Linked DNA regions of Mytilus edulis. The protein of the gene in region 2 purifies or fractionates together with the protein of the main gene of each other region. This does not show direct contact. Links are inferred from orthologs where the notes say so. Each region holds a gene or a part of one and is shown on either strand. Other genes may lie near its edges. The genes, in order: bone morphogenetic protein 7-like and activin receptor type-1-like.

Evidence for each region.
Region 1: the proteins of activin receptor type-1-like (region 2) and bone morphogenetic protein 7-like purify together in Drosophila melanogaster (affinity purification with western blotting, with the first as the bait; 3 studies listed by BioGRID). This does not show direct contact. The link is inferred for Mytilus edulis from reciprocal best matches to the Drosophila melanogaster genes sax and gbb.

What each region holds. Positions count from the first base shown.
Region 1 is NC_092355.1:13,259,663-13,272,038, forward strand, and holds the start of bone morphogenetic protein 7-like, read right to left. Parts: upstream 4,609-12,376; 5' UTR 4,387-4,608; coding exon 3,960-4,386; intron 305-3,959; coding exon 121-304; intron 1-120. Other genes in the region: uncharacterized protein, read right to left, coding at 12,142-12,246. UniProt on the Drosophila melanogaster protein: Required for the growth of imaginal tissues and for patterning of the adult wing.
Region 2 is NC_092357.1:58,498,971-58,511,177, forward strand, and holds the start of activin receptor type-1-like, read right to left. Parts: upstream 4,534-12,207; 5' UTR 4,464-4,533; coding exon 4,412-4,463; intron 1-4,411.

The DNA.
Region 1 (12,376 bases), on a different chromosome or scaffold from region 2:
TGTCTATGTCTACGTCTATGACAACTTCTATGTCATTTAAACTTTGGTGGAACGTTTTTTTTTTTTTTTTTTGGCAATCATAACACATCTTCTTATTTCTATTAAACTAAAATAACTTACTCGGGATCCGGTCCTTGTTTTATCATGTATATCTGAATCTGAAAATCATTACTTTTCCACTTTTTAGCTTTATCTTTAAAAAGCCTAAGTTCAGCTTTCACTACTTTTTCCTCAACTGTCACTTCACTAAAATCAAAGAAAAACGTCCGGTCTTTTTCGTGGCGTAAATGTGGAACTTTTTTGGCTGAAAAATAGAAAGTCGTTTATCATGATTATTGAATTAAATCAAATATTCTCGTAACTTTGTACGCTTAAACGTTTTGTTGTGTAGATTTTGTTTTTTAGCTTAACATTTTCTTTTTATTGGCTAATGGTTTGCCTTTCTTTGCATCTTAAAATGAATAATTTTAGACTAATCGACTAGTTTTGTAAAACAAAGATAAATATAAAATGGGGATACATTCCTATAGATTAGATGTTCGCTTTCATTAAACTGGTATATGGCGAAGGACATATGGGCTTTTCTTACGAAAGACCCCCATTCTTTCGATTGTATGTTAGAAAAATAAGGTACAGGTACATGTATGTTAAGATATGAGTTAGATTTCACTTTTCTGTCTATTTCTACTGTTCTTTTCTTTTGCCTATAGACTACATAGGGACACACGGTTCGACAATAACACTTAAAAGTAACAATGTTTAAGCATTCAAAAGGCGTATACTGAAATCTCATCAAAACGCAAGTACTTTTTTATGATGACCCGAGTGCATTTACTATGCAATAATATTTAATGAAATGCCAAAACTTCCAACAGAAAAGAGCTGCCAACATCTTTAACCCTATTTTATTAGTATTTAGTGCAAGATGAACACATGTAAAACCATCTGTAATTTAATTATACGTAGCCTATTAGAAGGATGTTTATTCAATATAGTAATTTACTGTTTCGGCCTTGAGCCAAAACGGAATTTTTAGACTAATGCTTCGGCATGTGATTGGGAATTCAAAATCTTGAAAAAGAAGGTATAAATAGTTTTTGAATTCTGAATACTTCATTGACTACACAAAATTAAGATCTTGATATAAAGTTTTTTTTTAATGTAGTATTGAATAAGTTTGAATCACGCCTAAAATCTTCATTTAGGCCAAAGCATAAAATTATGTTTAATGTGTCCTTAACTTTTCTGTATTGTCATACCTAACCTAACACATTTTGTAGACTATGGTGTAACACCAAAAACGTCTTGAACATTTACTTTTATCTCGGTGGCCGTGTGTATATATATATATATCAATTTGGCCTTAGTATATTTTTATTCCACGCAATCGAACGCTTGTGATGTGATAGGGATTGGATGGACAGATTAGTGTTTTGACGTCCTGTGGCAAATATATCATGTATTCTAGGATGTGACGAACCTATTTCTACTATACCGAACACGCTTATTAGGATTTAAACATGCTTGGTACATAAACGAAAACATGCCCCCACATACGATAGATGAATGGATTAGTACTTTGACGTTCAGTGGCAAATATTTCATGTATTTTAGAACGAGAACATGGTGTTATGATGTGAAAATTATCGAACCCTTTTGTACTCTACCAACACACTTCGTTGGATTTAAACATGTTTTACTTTTCTACATTGGCCGGAGGTACATCTGTATTCCGTATAGGGTGAGGGTTGAGATCTCATAAACATGTTAAACCCCGCCGCATTTTTACGCCTGTCCCAAGTCAGGAGCCTCTGGCCTTTGTAAGTCTTGTATTATTTTTAATTTTAGTTTCTTGTTTACAATTTGGAGTTAAATATGGCGTTCTTTATCACTGAACTAGTATATATATTTGTTTAGGGGTCAGTTGAAGGACGCCCTCGTGTGCGGGAATTTCTGGCTGCATTGAAGACCTGTTGGTGACCTTCTGCTGTTGTCTGTTCTATGGTCGGGTTGTTGTCTCTTTGACACATTCCCCTTTTCCATTCTCAGTTTTATTGTTAAATAAATAATAATAAAAAAACATACCCAGTCCCAATATCAGATGAGAGACAGGTGTCTTAGTGATTTAACATATATTTGATAAATGTACAATAGCCAGTGTCCATCCAGGAGAAGAGGGCATACACATAATTATTATGAAAATTATCATGGTATAAGATTTTTCAAAGCATATTATCGTCCATTCTTAATTACCCGTTTTTTTAGAATTTTTACAGAAAGCTTTTCAAAAATCACGGATCCGCCCCTGTTAGCCCATACACACGATTGGGAGATTTAGCAACGTTACAGCATTATGAAGACACACTCAATTGATTTAATGTGACTTTCACCATTCCCGCTACGTTTGAATAATACAGACCAAATCCGAGTTCAAGGAATAAACCATTGAACTCACTGCCCAGTGATCAACATTACAAAATAAACATTTGACCTTCAACTTATACTGTCTAGTGATCAACATTACAATATACTTGTATAAAAGTAACGACACAACAATTATCGGAAATATAAATTGAAATATTTCAGGACATTTCAATAAAATAAAAGTGTGGGTGAATTAAAAGAAATAGTTTATATCTAAAGTGGTTTGTACTGTTAGAAAGAAACCCATTGTACATGTTACAATTATACGTAATTTACTTGTAAGAAAGATATATTGACTAATTACTTTGTCGTTTTAATGGTCAAAACACCTGTGTTTTACAAAGGTAAAAATCAGTTGACATTTTAGGTTTGTCGTTTGTGAAAGGTACACCAATGAACGACATATACAAGTCTAATATAGGTAAAAAAAATAATCTTGTTTGAAATGTAAACCCTATAATCACGGTAATTATAGAAATTTTGTTGTCAATTTATTTTTGTTATCGTCGTGATGAACTGCGCAAACATACTATATTTAACGAATATATATATTAAAGAAAACATTTACAATGTCAGATCTATGAAAAACCAGCCCAGGGATTTCAACTCATATTAATAATAAAGAAATTAAAAGAAAAATTCTAGTACCATTAACTTTATAAGCCAAGTAAAGTTTTTTTTTAAGGTGATGAACATTGCACGAGGGTCTGTATGAGGGAAGATCATTACTGTGTATGAACATAAATTCAAGTGTTTTTCTATTTAATTAATATGTCTTTCCCGTTCTCTTTCCTTATACATGTTATATTTTACGCTCTTCATTATCATGATTATTCTCAATTCCGTATGTTTTGCCCTAATTTTCTTTCGCTATTTGTTTTCCTTAATTTTTCTGTAGATTTGCGAGTAATATTATTATTTACTTATTATTTCGTTGTATTTGTGGGCTGGTCAAATTGGTGATTATTTTTTTTCTCTCTCCATTAAATGAGGTCAACAAAATTAACACCGACAAATCATCATTATTGTTGTAATAAAGGGAAATTATTTCAAAAACACGGTTTGATTCTAAAATGCATGAAACACAGGTTATTTAAATACGAATTAAACCGATAATAGTATGAAAATCTTGAACTGAGAGCCCCCTTTTTTAACAGTCTAAAAAAAATATAAAAGAAAAATAAACATTTCTTCTAAACTTATTTATAAATACCACCTCTACAATATGTTTTACACGGAGAATGAATATGAAAAAGGGTTTTCTTTAAAAGGGGGGGGGGGGCGGTACATGTATTTATTTGTCCATTTCTTCTTTTTTAAAGTCTTATAACCATAGTGATAATAGTAATCTCAAATTGTATCTTAGAATACATTTACATAAACAAATAAGGACGGGATGTCTAGAAAATATATCTTAAATTTTGAAAACTCTTAACCCAAAAACAATGGCATGACAAAAAGGGAGACAATTCGCGCTCCCACATTCCCCCTTTTTCAGAAAAGGCATTTCACATTATTTATCTGTTTATACCTACCACGATTAACAAAACTCATGATAACGTCTGCACCTTGTATCGGTTCAATAATATCCCCAATAGATATATTCCCTGCTATTCTGAATGATGGCGTGTCATCTAATAAAATTCCATCCGCACCCGCAATAGTATTGTATAAATCTAACATAAAACGAGGCGCAGAATAGTCATTAGTATGCACCTTTGGCTTTGGTCGATGGTGTAATCCAAGCAGTGTCAAAATCTCTTGTTGGAGCTCTCGCTTACTCCTCGGGTTGATTTCATGTAATTTTTCCGTCTGATCCACACCATTGTCTATATAATATCCTGAAGACCAGCATACTATATCGTCTACACAACATATTAAAAGTACAACAACTATAGAAATGTGTAAGTTCACCACCATGTTAAATGTGTACCTATTTACCTGTACAGACATTCGCCCCATTCACGTTATTTACAAACATATACATTCTTTAGAACTTAGTCAGGTAAACACGTTGATTTAAGAACACATTTTAAATATAATCTCCATATGTATCCATTAATTATCAGATCGTAAGGATAAGTTTTAGAACTATATTCTCTCTATATTTCTCTAGCTATCCAAATGAAATCTATTTTTACCGCGTTAATTACGTTTTCTTTGTATTGAGTGGTTCCCCTGTCTGCACATAGGTTACACACATATAAACAGGTGAGATATACCGGTAAGTAATAAACAAATATCCCGACAGGTGCAGTATGGTTATTCATTTAACATACATCAAATATGTTAAAACTGTTTTAAAGTATTTGTTGATAGAAAGAAAAAAGAAAACTATTGAAGGGTGATATAACACCCCTCCCCTTTCCTCAGCCCCTTTCAATCTTATTTATTTTATTTTATTTATTTCAGTATACTTTAATTTACAGGTTAAATGAACTGATAACTGAAAAACAATACTTTTCATCGATATTTGATGACTTTGTAATTTCTTTTTTTTAAAGGCCGAATTAGACCTGCCACATGCACAAATTAAAATTAATGTAATATTTATTATCAAACCAGTTAAATTTTTACTCTATTTGCAATTCGATCAAACGTTGAAATTAATCTTCACTTATATAATTCAAATTTCAAAAATATATTGTTCAAAATATAATTCAGAAATGAAGGCAACTGCGGAAATGTCACGTATTGCCTGTTATAATAAAGTACGGGATTATCTATGAGCTTTAGAAAAAGGACGAAAACCGAGGCTCGCCGAGCTTTTTATATTCTACTGTTTGTAGCGAGTACAAATAAATTTGATATTTTTTGTCAATATATTGACTCTTCCCGTAAATTACACCAACACTTGAAATTCTAGTTTTCGAAAGAAAGCGACATCGTACATGTATAAACGCGGATCGCGAAGAGGGCCCCAAAATGAACTGTTACGCAAAGAAATATCCACGTTACCGCTTGCTCAACAGGAATAACAAGAGAATTTATTTCAAGTGTACAAGACAAAAATTGTATACCTGTTATTTGTACAATAGTTGGCTATTTGCCGCAGGATAAATGAATTGTCGAACCAAATTAAACAGTTACTGTAGTATAAAAGCCATCGTTCGTTAATTTGTACTTGAAATTTAGGTACTACAGATTCTTGGTTGCTATCGTTACATTTTCAGCATTTTGAAAGTTTTTCTATTTCAAATCTCTTAAAATTATGATTTTCAAACATGGAATATTGTATTATTTCTGTACCAAAATATTTAGTACAAATCAAGTACTGTAAAATACAAGTACCTAAATATTACAATTAGAGAAATAGTTCTAAATATTAAAAGTAAATTTCCAGTACCGAAATAGTACCTATGCAAAAGTAGCTGTGTATATTAAAAAAAAAAAGGAAATACAAATTTATTTGTTTTCTTGTTAAAAAAATTGTTGAAAAATCTACACTATCTCCCCTTATATCACAGTTTATCTTTCAATATTTATTTTAAGTTACATGTAAGTTCCGTGACATGATTTAAATGAAAAAGTTAACTACCAACGGTTAAGTAATTGGTGTCCAAGTTAGGCCCGAATAGTGGAACACAACCTCCTTATCCTAACTGTGCTAACCAATTCTCTCTCTTAACCCTTGTTGTCCTGTCCTATGATTAATTGTTATCTTATAGATATAGGAAGGTGTGGTATAGATCAAGGTACGGTCTTCAACACGGAGCCTATGTTCACACCGAACAGCAAGCTATAAAGGGCCCTACAAAATACTAGTAAAACCATTCAAATGGGAAAACTAACGGTCTTATGATATCTATAAAAAAAAAAACAAAAAAAAAACGGGAAACGAGAAACACATATAAACCACATAAACAAACGACAACCACTGAACATCAGATTCCTGACTTAGGACAGGTGCAAATAATTGCAGCGGGATTTAACGTTTTAATGGTACCAAACCTTCTCCCTTTTCTGAAACAGTAGTATAAAATCACATTATATTTATATTCGTGATCAGGTTGTTCCGTTACATACAGCCAAGACACCGCACTTACATGTACGTGTACTTTTGATGTACTAGATTTTTTTTGGTTAAACTACAAAGTCAGACGTATTTCAAAATACTAGAAATTAACTCAGCTCATTGATTAATCTAACCTGCAAAGTGCATTGATATATCTTATTTTATAACTGTCTTTTGATGTCTGAGGATGTGGGGATGTTTTGTTTTAATGCAATTAAGTAACCGCATAAACCCATGACGTAGTACGAATTATACGTCAATTATTCTGGTGATCTGTTGAATTAAATATTCTATTACAGTGTGTTTGACATGCATGTTTTTGTTACATCGACAAAGTTATGTAAATGCAATTAATAATTATATACAAACGTATTTGTTATCTTTAACTTAATCAACATGAAAAGGTAAATATATATAAGAATGCGAGGATTTTACATGTTTAAGTAAATATGTCAGTCTGAAAGAGGCGTTGCCACTTTCTCATTTGTCAATCCTCGTATACACGGTGGGTATGGTTGCCCTGCGAGAGAACGTTCTGTGCTGGTGATTCGGTCCTGACGGGTGCTGGTGATCAATGAAAAAATGTAAACAAAGACGAAAATGATGATTTTTGACGTTTTCACTCATAAAAAATGGAAGAAAACAGTTGAGACTTTTCAATTTTGTTTCTTATGGGTTCATATGTAAACCATTAAAAAGTTGACCCTCTAAACTGTTTCAGTAAGCGTAACACAAAAATGCTCATTTTCAGAAAATCTAGAACTGAAAAAATAAAACAAAAATGCTCATAGAGTCCGCTTTCTATACCGCAATCCACACGACAAAACTATTTTGTGAAAAACATTGCAATTTATTAAAATTTAGCATTTTCTCAATTTATTCATGTCCTGATACTGTGCTGGTGGGTCCTGTCATTGTGTTGGTGGGTCCTGATACGGTGCTGGTGATTTTGGATAAGAAGTTGGTCATATTTGAAACAAATGTTACAAAATCAATAAAATTGGGCAGATAATTGTTGTCAATAGGATCTATGACTCCTATTTTAGCTCTTGTGCATCCATTTGGCTGTTTAATATGTGTTTTCAAATGATCGTAACTAGTATTACATAATTACATAAAAGGGCAACATCTTTCGTCCAATAATGTTGAAGCATCAATGTAAGGGGCATTTAATATCTTAATAAAACTATTCTTATTTTAGATACTATATATTGTTATCTGATATTATATCAGATAACAATATATAGTATCTAAAATAAGAATAGTTTTAAGGGGCATTTAATATCTTAATAAAACTATTCTTATTTTAGATACTATATATTGTTATCTGATATTATATCAGATAACAATATATAGTATCTAAAATAAGAATAGTTTTATTAAGATAAGGCATTTAATATCTTAATAAAACTATTCTTATTTTAGATACTATATATTGTTATCTGATATTATATCAGATAACAATATATAGTATCTAAAATAAGAATAGTTTTATTAAGATATTAAATGCCCCTTACATTGATGCTTCAACAATTATCAAAGCATATGCCGCATAGACATGTTTGTTAGCGCTCCGCATATATTTATAGAAGAGCTGTAAATTCTAAAAAAAAAAAAAATCTTGTTGTCGTAGATGGTTAAAATGAATCCTCAACAAAATCTCAATAACTTTGTTGGAACGAATAAAGGCTTTAAATCAAATTTTTGTGGACTTTTTAGCTTTTACCCTGACGAGGCATGTTAGCTGTTCGTATGCTGTTGTACCTGACACACGGAAACTTTCACATTTCCATCTTCTTTTCTGAAATATTTTCCCCAGCTCATACTTGACAGGATTGTTATCATAGTAAAAGGTGAAACCAATAAATTGAACACAAGTTAAAAGTTCCACAATACTATATAATTCATTTTATGTGTCAATGGGCTCCTCACCCTGGTGACCCTGCTATCTTTCATAGCTCTATCCGTATACATATATTAATAGATACACAAATAGATACACAAAAGGCTGCAACTGGTATTTTTGTATTCAAAATGATTCGTTGTAACGAAATATTTGTGGTGAATGGAAACTGTGAGGGTCAAAATCTTAAATTGCTTATAAATGTTGCTGGACCCAGTTTCGTTATCTGATCTGAATTTTCTGAAATGTGCAAGGTAGATAGACCTTGGCCTTTTGATTTTTTGTTACTCGGTAGGTTTTGTCCTAATTGCTTGAACTTTTGCAATATTAAAGTCGATTTCAATGAGTGTGTAGACAAAGGGAATATCTTTAGTTATCTTGCTTGCTGAACAGAAAAGTCATTGTTGGGTTAAGTAAACTTTACGAGTAGACTAGTCCGACAAAGGACACATCTTTCTGTATGTAGGACCAGGCTACTTCGAAAGGAGGGTAGTATACCTTACTTAACAATGAATTCACGGTTTAGGTAACAAGCAAGCTAACCAAAGATATTACCTTTGCCTACATACTCAATGGAATCAGCTGTAAATAAAAACTCGAATACATTTTAATAGACATGCAGTGGTCATATTTGTTGATGAATATTGTTTTTCCTAGATTCACTCTTGAAAAATCATTTGGTAACATTTGGTCAAGTAATTTCAGAAAAGATCTTTTTGTAATTGCGGACGCCAAGACAATACACGAACCTCACACGACCCCTCGACACAGGTGAGCTTATATATGATCTTATAGCGATTCGGGTTGATAACCATTTGAAAGTAAGCCAGTTTTTTGTGTGTGTAGATTTGTATTGTTTTAAACTGTTATGACCTTTAAAAGTTAAATGTAGGTGTTTAATCTAAGAATTTCTTTTTTTTAAACTTATATACTTGTTTTATACTCAATTGGTAGTATGAAGCTACGAGATATTTGAAATATTTGAAATTGAAGGCACAATTAACAAAGCAAAGTAGTTTCAAATACTTTTAAATAGATCTTTATATGTACCCTTGTGTTGATCCCATGCTAAACATAACAAAAATCTCTGTACAAAGGTTATCTCGTCTTCATTCTCTGACATATTCTAGCCTGCCCTTTCATAAAATAGTGATTTTTTTTAGTGTTCTATCGAACTTTCGAAAAAAAATACCTTATAACCGTTCAGACAAAAAAATTATGTTGAAAAAATCTTACAGATACAGCAAGTGATTCTTAATAGCTATAAGATACATTTTTCTTTTAAAATACAACTTTTAAATCTTACGAGAAACTATTCCAAGCTTAAAACTTTCACTGTAACCTCGTTCTAACTTATCCCCCATCCCCTCCAAAAAAAAAAAAAAAAACCAAACAAACCCGCAATACTATTGTCATTCTTATAGTCAGCACTAAATTGTTCACAAAGAAATGTGTTTTAAGCTGCTAAAGACATATGATTCAAACGTTCAGAAAGTCCTTTGTTCTATATTTTTGCTCTCCATTTTTATGCAAAACCTTTTACATTTTTATTTTATGGGTTATTGTTGAAGGTCGTACGATGACGTATGGTTGTTAACACATACTTCCTTTGGTTTCTTATGGAAATTTGTCCATTGACAACAAACATACCACATCATCTACTTTATATAAGTATTGTATAAATTACAACGTATTTTGGTGATCTTGCAAAATGATCGTAATCCCGAAAATCGTAAACATATTTTCTTATCTTAAAAGGGGGCAAGAAGGGTTCCATTAACAGGCCAATATATAAGATTACAGTTAATTTAAAAAAAAATAAAAAAAATAGGGCTATTTTTTCTCTCTCATAATATTAACAGTAAACAGATTCACAACAATGTCAATTTCAAGAAAGCAGACAACAGTTAATTAGTCAATAACAGTATCAATGATCTTGAATATGTGCCATTTTTAACTAAAATATAAAGGCACAGAACCAGGACATAGAAGCACAGAACCAGGACCGTTTTTCTTATCACCAGCACAGCGTCAGGACAATTCCGTTTAAGGAACTTGCACGACTTTTGCAATATAATATTGTTGTAATATACTTTGCATGGTACTTATGACGAATCAGAGAAAAATTAAGCAACAAAACAGTCGTTTTATTGCCGTCCTGATACAATGTAAACAAACCCACCAGCACAGAATCAGGACCCACCAGCACCTGACAGGACCAAATCACCAGCACAGAACGTTCTCTCGCAGGACAACCATACCCACCGTGGTATAAATACGCTACTCTTCTTCACGGAATCTGCCGACTTGTGACGGAAGGCCACTGTCTGTTACTTTGTTTACTCGCATGCACGATGTATAAGCATGGATATTGAAAAAAATCTGTTACTTAAGGTATAGATCATCTAACATCTTTTTTCTTATTTTTCTAAGTAAGAAAAACTATAGTCATTATATACTGATTTATATAAACAATTCGACACACATACAATAAAGAGTAATGGTCATTACTTGACTGGATTTTATATTTACTTTTTTACACATTAAAGTATACACAAATAATTTTCAGCGACAGTGAGAAAATATTTTCGTTCAAACATTGAAAACAATTCATTGATTAAAGTCTGATATCGGAGATCAAAATTGAATGCACGGGTACACGGGAACTCGTACATCCCTAACAACTGGTGAAAATCGCTATATGCGATTCATATTTAGCAAACTGGACATGCTTAACGCTAATACTATAGAAATATTAAGAAATTTTCTTTTATAAAATGTGTTTTTAAATAGATATGTATGTTTCTTGCTCAATGTCTGTTTTGATCTTTTCAAATGATACTGTGTAACAAACCCACTATACGGTAATGTTTAACTCCATACGATTTGCTTTAAAGATTAAAAAAATCCTTTGCAACAGTTTTTCCAAAGAGTGTATATAAAATTAAAACATGTATATTTTACAGTTCACAGTCAAATAACCGTCAGTGGGTCTAATTGTTTCATGCAAATTAGATTACTTTAAAAATGGCATTTCTTTAATTTTGATAGCACACACTACATGTATTTCTGCTTCAATTTTTTTAAAATCATTACAAAATTTTAATGAAGTGACTACTTGGCATATTGTGCAGACAATTGTCTTTCTCTTTGAAGATTGCATTTGGGCATGAGTGTGCATGTTTTATTTTTGTGTCGTTGGGATGTTATATAAAAAGTAAAATCTCAAAAATACTGATCTCCGAGGAAAATTCAATCGGAAAGTCCCTAATCACATGGCAAAATCAAATAATAAAACACATCCAACCAATGGACAACAACTGTCATATTCCTGACTTGGAAAATGCATTTTCAAATGTAGAAAATGGTGGATTGAACCTGGTTGTATAGCACTAAACCTCTCACTTGTACGACAATCGCATCATATTTAATAATAGTGATAATGATGCGTGATCAAAACAGACACAATATGTAAAACTGTCACAAATAAAGGTAAACAGTCTAATCCGGTAGGTCACAGTCGTGAAAAGGGAACGGGATTGTAGTTACGACATAAGGAACATATCCGATATCATATAACAGATATTCCATTGATGTATACCCCATTTCTACATATGTCGACCCATACAAACTCTTGACGAAATAAAGGGGAAACAATTTAGCCTGCATGTATTATATATACCTATAGCTATCGCTTCTCATTATGGAGAAATATGAAGACCACATATACCTGTCTCTATTGAGAAAAAGAAGAAAAAAAAATACATCAGTAATTTACAGCCTTTTTAATTTATTACTTTCACCAATTGATAACGTGGTAATTGTCAGCATTCTGTCTTGGATTTGGATGGCCTGACGTCACTTCATAAACATCTACTGGATGTCCACACAACTGCATTGCAATCTATAATAGTAAAGTGATATGGTTATATAAATATTTAATACATTTTATATCATACCAAATCTCTTTACTTTTTGTTTATATTACTAGCTTTATCATATACTTAGACTAAATAACATGTGATTTTTACTGT
Region 2 (12,207 bases):
AAAAAGTTTTCAAAACTTATCAGCGGAACAAAGCACTATGCATATATATCAAATATGTCTAAAATCCATCATCCATGCAAGGTGCAGGTGCATATTACATGCATATTTTCATAATTAAAAACTTAACGTTGGTAGATGAGGTTAACTTTAACATCTGTATGTATTTTGAAAATTTTAAAAAATTACCATGGGTAACAAAAGTTAGTTCAGCATTTCCAAAAAAAAAATCATTTGGCTCCTCTATAATATTGCATTCCAAATCATGTCTAAGAAAAAGTAACATGCACATGTACATATGAAACTACCCCTTTTTTACATTAAGTAAATATTTTCATAAAATTTTATATATATATATATATATATATATCTTGAATTTCTGGGATGGTACTTGACTGCATACAGTGGCGGATCCAGGGAGTTCCGGGGGATGGAACCCCCTTTTTCTTTTGGACGATCAATGCATTTGAATGGGGACATGTAGTTGGAACTCCCCCCCCCCTTTTTTGTCCTGGGTTAGGAACCAACCCCCTTTTTTTCAAATGGCTGGATCTGCCCCTGTCATATATAAGCATGTGTATCTAAAATTGATCAACTTTTAAAAAAAAATATTTTGCTCCACTCCAATATCTAATTCATTCTAAATCATGCCTTATGATGGTTAACATGTATATATACACATATAACTACCCATTTTTAACATAGAAAATAATGTTTCTTCAAATTATTTTACAATGCATCCTTATTTTCTGGACAGGCTGGATGTTACTTAAATGACCAGAAGTTGAAATAGAAAATGAACAAAGGTTAAATTTCAAGAGAAGAAAACGAGCTTCATAATCATCATTATATCATCATGATGATCATTAACTGTTCATTTCTCAACCTCTTAAACTAAAAAAATTAAATAGCTTCCTACAAAATTTTATCTGTTAAAATAAAGCTAATAAAATTCATTATTCTGTTGTAATCAGATTTTTCTAAATCATCATCATTATATTATTAACTGTTCATTTCTCAACCTCTCAAACTAAAAAATTTAAATAACTTCCTACACAATTTAATCTGTTAAAAAAAAGCTAATAAAATTCATTTTTCTGTTGTAATCAGATTAGTACTGCATGGACGAAAAAGAAAGAAAAACACGACGTTTCTGCTTCTTTCGTCTTTATGTCAACGTGGTACACCATACGAGGTACATTTTATGGCGAAGATTTTACAAGCAGAGATCAGTAGCGCTGAATATAGATGTCAATTCAATTGGTACTGTATTGAAACTCTCACCAGGTGTCCTAATATAATTCATAGTAAAAATCGCGTGAAAATCACGCCTCTAAAAATTAATTACATTACTGGGGGATTTATTGAATAAACACAAATAAATGAAAATTTCTTTCACTAATGCATACTAGGATAAAAAAAGGTTTACTTCATTATACTTTCTCAGGTGCAGTGACGTTCAAAAATAAATTTATCCAACAACCTACCACCTTTCTGTTGCCAGCTTTTTAAATTACGATATATAAAATAAAAGAATAGTATCATGAACACAAAATGTATATCATGTATATATGTAGGTAGATTAGAATGAAGAGTCTCAGTGTAATTAAATTTATGTTTAACCAGGGACGAAGCATAAATCTTTACCATTAAAATAAAAGAAATGTATATAAATGCATGTTGTATGTGCTGTTCCTTTGCTTTGTGTGTGCATATTCATGATATTTTTTACGGTGCATTTTACATTGTCATTTCGGGCATTTTATAGCTGACTTATGGGGTATGGACTTTGCTCATTGTTGAAGGCCTTACAGTGACCTTTAGTTGTTAATTTGTGTCATTTTGGTCTCTTGTGGACAGTTTTTTCATTAGCAATCATACCACATCTTCTTTCTTATATGTGTATTTTTGTACTGATCTTGTGTGACAGTGTCATTGATGGGTACCCCATATTTGTGTTTCTTTTACATCATGGATCCAGGACTTTTAAATGGGGGGCCACTGACTGACCTAAAGGGGGGCCAGTTCCCATCATTCTTCAGTGATTCTCTATATAATCAACCAAATTTTCCCCACCAAAGGGCCTTTGAAATTTTTAACAAGCTTAAGCTTATTTACAAGAACATTTTTGAAATTTTGGAATACATAAAATTGAGAATTGAAATGGGGAATGTGTCAAAGAGACAACAACCCGAACATAGAGCAGACAACAGCCGAAGGCTACCAATGGGTCTTCAACACAGCAAGAAACTTCCACAACCGGAGGAGTCCTTCAGTTGGCCCCTAAACAAATATATATACTAGTTCAGTGATAATGGACGTCATAATAAACTCTGAATTATACACAAAAAAACTGAAATTAAAAATCCTACAAGACTAACAAAGGCCAGAGGCTCTTGACTTGCAATAACTGTTACTGCATCAGTCAGATGAGATTATTTCTTCTTATTCCTGTTATTTTCTCAATCTGATCCTTTAGAGACCCTCTAGATCTTTAGTCATTATACATTGTACATTGTATGTATGCCAACTAGCTATGCATGCAATATAACTGTATGATACATGTTGTGTCCTTATGAATATGGGTAACACACCAAATAATCCAAGTCTAGTAATTACCAACTTTGCAAAAATGTCATACATCGTCATGATCTGTCATAGGTCTTCTTGTAAAAAAAACCTCATTTAAACAACTAATTTAAAAAGCAAAATAATAACTTGTTGTTTAAGATATTGGTTAAACATGTAAAAAATGCAAGATTTTTTATTCAATTTCAATTTTATATACATGTAGCATAATTCAAATCAACTGTTTCCAAAATTATATAAATTCAATAGGGGGAGATCACTCAGATAATTTCATTTATTGAAAGCTTGTTTTTAGCTACAGATTGTGAAAATTCACATTTTTCGTAACAATTTAACAGGTAATTTAAAGAGCATTCTACAGAAAAATAGATTTAGAAATTATAAATATAACGACAAAATTTAAAATAAATTACAAAGTGCTGAATATAGCTTCAAAAAAATGCATTCAAAAAGTCAAATTATCTGAGTTATCTCCCCTTATCAGATTTAATACATTACAAGTGTACACAAAAGCAGGGTTCTCATTATGGATTTTAGAAGGCGAGTCCAGGGACTCGTCATTTTTGGCCATGGTGAGTCCAACAGCAAGGAGAAGATATTTTATTGCAATATAATGTAATATTTAAGTCTCATGGTCTAACAGAGCAATGAAATGACATTAAATTCAGATTACTTTTAAACTTTTGCTATAAACTGATGATATTTGTATTTAACTGTGTTTAGTTTATACAAAATATTTCTATCTTGATGCATCTGTGGACTCACTAGTTTTGAAAATGATGAGTCCAGAGAGATTTTGATGAGTCCAGGACTCATGGACTCGCCTTAGTGAGAACCCTGCACAAAAGTGACATGAATTAAATTTTTTTAATCAATCAAACATATTTTGCACATGAAAAAAATGTCTCAAAAATCTGATAATTTAATATATGCAATAAAAAAACTTCGTCTTGATCAGGTTGATAGTTATCTGCTTTTTCACGGTCCAACATTGGGAAAGACTCCAATCTACACTGGTAGAGTAGTACAGGATATTTATGAAGCTAAGCTAAAATTCTGTAAAATATTCCGTGCTTGTACCTGTGCCTCCACCAGTGCATGCATAAAATGATACAAGATTTCATTTAACAGGTAGGGGACACCCCACCAAATGGTAATGGGGAACTATTCCCCAAATGAGTAATAATCCCGCATTTGTGTATTCATTTGATAGTGCTAAAAACTTAGTTTTCATAGGCTTATAACTTCTCAGTAATTCAAGATAATGGATTCATTTATTGGAAATTTTGCTAAATTTTTCACAATTCTATGTCATAGTACATGTAGTACACATGGTATAACATGTTTATAGGAAAAAGACTCAGCTGACAAATGTTATACATGTAGTATAAAAATGTTCTTCAAAAGTTCAGACGAAAAAAATCTAATTGGTAATTTCCGACAATTTTTACATTTCCATATTTAGATATTTTTTCACTGAAGTCAGTGAAGAAAAAAATGACCCATTTGTTTATTATTGTGTAAAGGTGCCATGAAGTCTGGGGTCTATCACAGACAAACTGTAAAGTTTTAACATCCATAATCCCTTACTTCCAATAACTGGACAGTCACACAGATGCAACAGAATTTAATTTTGATAATGAATGTGTTATACACATTGTGTAGATTACATACACAATGTACCTTGTAAGACTACCTCAGTGTCACTTTGTTTACAAACAATGAAACGGGAAAGATGGTATGTACTTATCGATTCAGCGCCATTAAAGACAATATTTTAGCTATAGAAAATTATAACCAATTGTTCCCTTCTATAAAAACTTACCACAAATGAGAGTAAACACAGAGAAGGCCACTAAAATTTCTATTTTCCACATGATGATCACCGTAACTTCGCCATGACAGGTCTATGTTCCAGATGAGTGATTTTCATGGTTTTTGTACATTAGATTTAACCAAGCACCAACACGTAAGCATCTTTAAATACAGACGAAAAAGGTCCGTTTTCCCAATAATATTTTCAGCTCGGGTTTCAGATTACTACTGACAAGGACGTATAACTAACATATACGTCCTTGCTACTGATGACATTAATAAAAATTATTGACAACACAAACATTGTTTGGATTAGACATTTATAAAAATACGAATGTTCACCAAAATCTAGACAAAATAAAGAGAAAGACAGTTCCTAATGTAATTCAACAGTATTGTACCGGGGGTATATTAACTCGAATAATTCAAGCCCTTTCCGTGTCCGATTTTCTCCCACACGAGGTTAATATAGCCTTCGTAGATCAGCGGAATATAACGACTGAATTATTCGGGTTAGTGGTATATCCAGAGCCATTTACGTATACTTTCTCTAGGATATAAAATCCAGGCTAGAACGAACGTTTGCCAATTGATTAAATCTTTTAGACAGTTAGTGCTGTATTTTAATGGACACCTATGTATTATATTGTGCTGTCTTGCAGGAGTCTTTTAAAGTTTTTTTTATTTATTATATATTATAATGGGTTAAATATATTTCGCAAAACTGATAGGCATTGAAATTTTTAATTAACGCTAAAATGGGTTAAAGTTCTGGCGCTATTTAAAATGGGTTCTACTTTGGTGCTAAAACGTCAAATATTTTCGCTAATATGTCCTATCAATGCGCTAAAATGTCCTCCGCCGAATTAAATGATAAGCAGCTACATTTTTTTTAATTGTATGTTATTTGCACAGCAGTTATTGACGATAATCTTAATCAACGTGATGTAATTTTAAAATCTGAGACGTTTAGTTAGAATAATAGTCTAAGTTATAATCAATTAGCGAGAGAAATAATATGTCCTTAATTAAAATTTATTCTTGAAAGCTCCAATACTATGGCATAAGTTCAGAAACTAAAGGCATATGGCCGATAATATGTTCATTGTATTTTTGAAGAAATAGATAATTTTATGAAGTGTAGCTTTAGGAATTTTTGATAAAATGATCCATATTTTACACAACAAAAAGTGCAACGCAGTTTTACGTACGTGTTTAAAAAAAAAAACAGTGATCGTTTTTGTTCCGGAACTATTTTCCTTGACTCCATCCGAGGAAAATTCTAAACGGAAAGTCCCTAATCAAATGGCAAAATCAAAAGCTCAAACACATCAAACGAATGCATGGATAACAACCGTCTTATTCCTGGTTTTGTACAGGCATTTTCTTATGTAGAAAATGGTGGATTGAACCTGGTTTTATACCTATAGCTAAAACTCTCACAAGTTTGTATGACAGTCGCATCAAATCCCATTATATTGACAACGATGCTTGAACAAAACAAATAATAAGTAAAAATGTCAAATATACAGCAATCAACATTAACTTAAAGTTATAATCTTAACACCAAAAAATATTAGCAAAAATTAAAGACAAGAATACACAAATTTGCCACTTTACAATAACACAATGCACAAAGCAAAAATGAAAGACAACCAACAAACACGTTTTACCGTGATTAGCACAATAACGGGACGTATATTATAAGCAGTTAACTGACATGCCAGCTCCAGACCTCAATTAAACTGATTGAAAGATTATGTCTTCATCATATGAATATCAGGTACAATCCCTCCCGTTAGGGGTTTAGTATCATACTATCATAAAATATATGAGAAGAACATAACCCGTGTCATGCCAACAACTGTTTTTTTTTTTTTTAGAAATAAATGTGTTTAGTTCCGATGCAAAGACCCTATCAGTGAATCAATGTTAAAGCCAGAATATGCAATCTTTAATGACCTGACAACAGTATCGTAACTATATCCCCTTTTAATAAGTCTATTTAAAGGTTTTGTTAGTTTCTGAGGAGAATACTGACATTTTTGTGCTTTATAAAGAATATTTCCATAAAATTTTGGATGTGAAATACCTGAACGTATAAGATGTCTGCATGTTGAGTTATATTTACGAATTATTTCCTTATACCGGTGATAAAATTTAGTAAATGTTTTGACCAGTTTGTGATATCGAAAACCCTGGTGTAATAATTTTTCAGTAATACATAAATTTCTCTCGCTAAAATCTAATACATTGTTACATACACGAGCGAATCGTACAAGTTGAGATATATAAACACCATAAGATGGTGACAAGGGAACGTCACCATCTAAAAATGGATAATTAACAATAGGAAATGAAAAATCATCTCTTTTATCATAAATTTTTGTAGTAAGCTTCCCGTTTATGATATAGATATCAAGATCGAGGAAAGGGCAGTGGTCATTGTTATCATTAGCTTTATTTAAAGTAAGTTCTACAGGATAAATTTCTTTAGTATACATACTGAAGTCGTCATTATTTAGAGCCAATATATCATCCAAATATCTAAAAGTATTGTTAAATTTTTGTATCAAATGTTGTTTTGATGGGTCTTTGCTAATTTTAGTCATAAATTGTAACTCATAACAATACAAAAACAGGTCCGCAATAAGTGGTGCACAGTTTAATATAATCCGATATCAGACAAGAAATTTTACATGCGTAGACTAGTATGCTCTATATATATATATATCTGGTCACGAAGTGTGTACATAAAGTACAATGAAACTGAAGAGTGAAAATGAATTCTTTATTAAATATTTAATTCTTTAGTACGGTCACTGTGCTAGTAACATATATACTGCTCATCCAAGTGTTCCTAAGTTTCCCAAGTTATCGTATCTGAAATAGAAATAGCTATTAATTGATATTTTATAATGTGCTGATCTTTTTTGTGATGTTACACTATTATTGTTTCAAATAAAAGTAAAGGTTTGGTACCATTAAAACGTTTAAACCCGTTTCAATTGTTTGCACCTGTCCTAAGTCAGAAATATGATGTTCAATAATTGTAGTTTGTTGATGGGGTTTATGAATGTTTCTCGTTTCTGTTAATTTATATATATCAATCTTATTAAAAACCGATCTCTCATCGCTCCCGTTTTCTGATATGTCGCGTGGGAGATCTAACGAAACCCGCTTTGAGGTCACATGTGAGTGACCTCGTAGGTGTGTCTTTTTCGGCCAATGAAATTGAGTCTTCCACGATCTTGAAAGGTTATCGTAAGGTAAAGGGATGTAACTCATTTTATTTACGACGAAATTGTCAGTCAAAATAATTCATAAACTTTTTTGATTGGCTTATTAATAGGTCGTCAACTCATTTGCATATCGTTATAAATTCATAGCTTCCAGTTCACTCACATGTGACAAAAAATCAACACAATTATTTGTACACTTTAATTTAAACTGTAATTGTACTGCTCCTCGGGGCGTCTTGATTGACAAATAAAAATTGTTGTTGTTGTTGTTGTTGTTACCTCAAAGCAGGTTTCGTTAGATCTCCCACGCGACATATCAGAAAACGGGAGCGATGAGAGATCGGTTTTTAATTAGATTGTATATATATATAAATAAGACCGTTGGTTATCCCGTTTGAATGGTTTTACATTAGTATATTTTTTGGGGCCCTTTCAGTATAGCTTACTGTTCGGTGTCCGTGTTGAAGAGCATATTTTGACCTATAATGGTTTACTTTTATAAATTGTGACTTGGATGGAGAGTTGTTTCATTGACACTCATATCTCATCTTTCTATATCTATTTGTCAGTCGTGTGTTTTTTTAATTTTAGTTCATTGTGTGACGTTCATTTTCATGAACTTTTATTTAGGAGCTAGCAAGCTGAGGCATTCACGCGCGGGTGCGGAATTTTCTCGCTGCGTTGAAGACCCATTGGTATATATAGCCTTCGGCTGTTGTCTGCTCTTTAGTCGGGTTGTTGTCTCTTTGACACATTCCCCATTTCCATTCTCAATTTTAGTAAGTAGAAATATTTCAGTTTACTTATATTGTATCATTAATATGTTGTATGTAAAAACTCAGTTTTCATATTCATTTGTTTTATTGCGATATAATTTAATTTTGGAAGTAACGCGTCTTCTGATTGGCTGACGTTATTTTGTTATCAGCTCATGGCATAATTTAGTCATGTGACTTCATCAATGTTTTTTCATGCTTTTCTACGGTTTAAAATGGAATTTAGAATTAAATTATAAGAAATGACTGTAATATTTTTTCTGTCTATTCGAAATAACATAAAAATGTGGTGCACACTGTTAAATAGCCCGCTACGCTCGTATTATTACAGTCATTCCTTAAGTAATTGTTTGCTGTTCCTACGATTTTTTTAAAAATTCTATTGGTGTTTTTTTTTCCCCAATCAAATTTATCAAATTTCAATTTATCAACAACTCGAATAATTCTTTCCTCTCCAACGCCCAGTCATGATCCTTTTGATATTGTAAGTGAGATAGTTATATCATGAACGATAGGGTTATTTGGTTTACATATAACCATTAGAATTTATTCAATAGATATAGGAAGATATGGTGTGAGTGCCAATGAGACAACTCTCCATCCAAATAACTTGGCTCACACCGAACAACAAGCTATAAAGAGCCCCAAAATTACTAGTGTAAAACCATTCAAACGGGAAAACCAACGGTCTAATCTATACAAAATAAAAAAAATGAGAAACGAGAAACACGTATAAATTACATAAACAAACGACAACTACTGTACATCAGATTCCTGACTTAGGACAGGTGCAAACATTTGCAGCGGGATTAAACGTTTTAATGGATCCAAATCTTCTCCCTTTTTTCTGAAACAATAGCATAACATCCCAACATAGAAAAACGCACGGTAAAATATCAATTGGCAGGCTTAACTCAATCAAAAAACGTACATTAATACACTATTAACGAATAAATTTGATCTGCGATATCTGAATGCAAATGCACAGTTAATAAAATATTAGGGACAAAAATTCAAGGTAAAAAAACAAACAAACAAGTCCAAACAAAGCCATGGCAAGTCACCACTGCGAAATATTTAACCCTTCGAAAATATTCACTTTAGAAAAAAAACCAGTTTTAAAAATATACAGGTAAATCTTGAAGTTTATACAAATGTAGTAAGAAGAAGTGAAAGTCTGCTTTTTCGATTTTGAAAAAAAAGAAAACATACATGTAGCATCACATCTTTGTTGAAGCTAGACCGTAAACAATGGATTACAGTTACATCCATTTGTATCATTTGGTCTCTGTTGTCTTAATAGCCAACATGCATAACAAACACTCCTTAATTTTCAAATTTCTTTTTTCCCGGTATGTTAACCTCCATCTGATGATTGATTGATTGATTGATTAATAAAATGGCTTACGCATGTTTCAAACAGTAATCCCGACAGTCTGTATAGATTTGTGATTCAAAAGAAACTGAACTACCGCCTGTCTTGTCATGAATGCATTTCATCTCACAAGCTATCGTTGGTGTGATTAGTTGAGCATACGTAGAACCTGAAATAAGGCATACGATTAGGCCACACGGCAAATTATCCGGTGTTTTTTTTCTAAACTCCTTTTTTTTTCTTGAATGTCTTGAAACATTTTTTCCAATCCCAATTTCTTAAGGCATTTACCCCATGAACCTATATCGTAGGTTCTGTTTGACACGTAATTTCATGACATACACTGACATATACTACTTGATATAGCAATAAATCGGTCGGAGTAAAACTGACGAATTATTTTCGAAATTGCAGTTAAAAAAAAAAGAAAATGTTAGTGGTAAGTAAAAGACGGATGCACTGTAGACAAGCTTAATAATCGCACACGGTTACAAATGAAAAGTGGCAAATTTGGATCTTTTATCTGTGAAGCACTTTAAAAGATATTTTTGTATTAAAATATATCTAGTTTTCTTTTTTACTCGTTTGTGTTGTAGGGTTGCTGTTTCTCAGACTTTTGTCTCAGGTCTCCTTTCATTGATATGTAAAATAAAACATTTATAATAAAAATGTGTATAGCCTACATATCCAATTTTGGCTTTAAAAAATTAAATGTAATAATTAAAAAAAAGTTGAATAAAATTTTAAAGATTCTATTTCCCTGTAAAAACATCGGTATGTGTCTCCTAAGTGAAAAATAAACTTGTATATTTTTCATGGGCAATAATAGAATTGGCAAAACTATTTCAATGGTCTTTTTAAACTCGGCGTAAACGGTTGTTGAATATCGCAGGTAGTGAAAAAACTAAAATGCTTTTATATGAGATAAAGTTATGAGTTTCTTAATACAGGTTAAAAATGTCAATTACCTGCCAGGTAAACAAACACTAAGAAAACTACGCAGAAAGGAACCTTCATTGTTTCACTGAAGTTAGAATAAAATGGAGGACAAGAACGGCCCTTATCAACTATTTATCTATCATATATGTGATGGTCTGGAGGGGTTTACAGAAAAGTGAATAATGGGCAAAATGTACAGAATAATTGGCATAAATCAATAAAGATAAGAGAAAGGTGGACCAAAATTATAAAAGAAGAAAAGTGATAGGTTGCTAACCCCCCCAAAAAAAAATGAAAAAATAATGGACCAAAATATGTAAAAATAGAAAACAAAATGGCTGCATGCAAATTTACAGAATCCAGAAATGAAGACCCTCATAACAATGTATAGAACAGATAAAGAAAAAGCACGACTTGTAAATCTGATGTCACTGGCTCATGTGGTTATCGCTGCATCTCAAAGTGTTGATCATTGATAAAGCAGATTACCGTTTAAAATATGTGGAAGTACAACTGTAAAACGTAGAAATTCCACGGACATCATGTGGATGATTAAAACCAAAGCACAAAGTAAACACCAACCATTAAGGTCATGCTTTAGTATTACAGCCGATTTCATTATGTGTGTAGGTAAAGGTCATATCTTCGGTTAGGGAGCTACCATTTGATTTTTATGGGGGGGGGCTAGGATGAAAAATTTTGTCCTGCATTTTTTTTTAGCTGTAATCTCTGTCCTGCCTTTTTATTTTTCACTCTGTTCGGTCCTGCCTTTTTTTTTTTAGTTTATCCTGACTTTTTTTTACCTAAATTGTCGTCCTGACTTTTTTTTTTGCAAGTGTCTCATCCTGCCTTTTTTTTTAACTCAAAACTCCTGTCCTGCCTATTTTTTTCAAATTTCATCCTAGCCCCCCCCCCCCCTCCATAAAAATCAAATGGTAACTCCCTTATATAGCTTCAACTTGTTAGATGAACAGTGAAGTCATTATAGGTAAGGTAAACTATCCTCCTTTACGAGTAGACTAGCCCAACAGATAACCAATCTATATGTCTGTAAGACTAGACTACTTCGAAAGGAGGGTAGTGTATCAAACCTAATAATGACTTCGTGGTTCAGTTAACAAACAAGCTAACCAAAGATTCTACCTTTACCTACAGACTCAAGGCATTCTGCTGTAGTATTTAACAAATTGATTGATTGAGTGTTGCTCCCTTAAAGTCCAGTGGAAAATAGTTAATGTATATTCAACACAGAAGAAATAACAATGAATACAAAAGAAAAGTTTTTAAATAAATGTCGAAAGGGATTGGGATTGGACATGTTTACATCCATTGAAACAATAAATGTTACGTATGATTGAGTCGACATATTTTGCATTGCGACAGGATCATAGGGATCTTAAAAATGTTGCATGCAGTGGGTCTTTACCATAAAAACAGCTTGGTATCGGTCGTACTAAGAGAAGAATATGCTGTA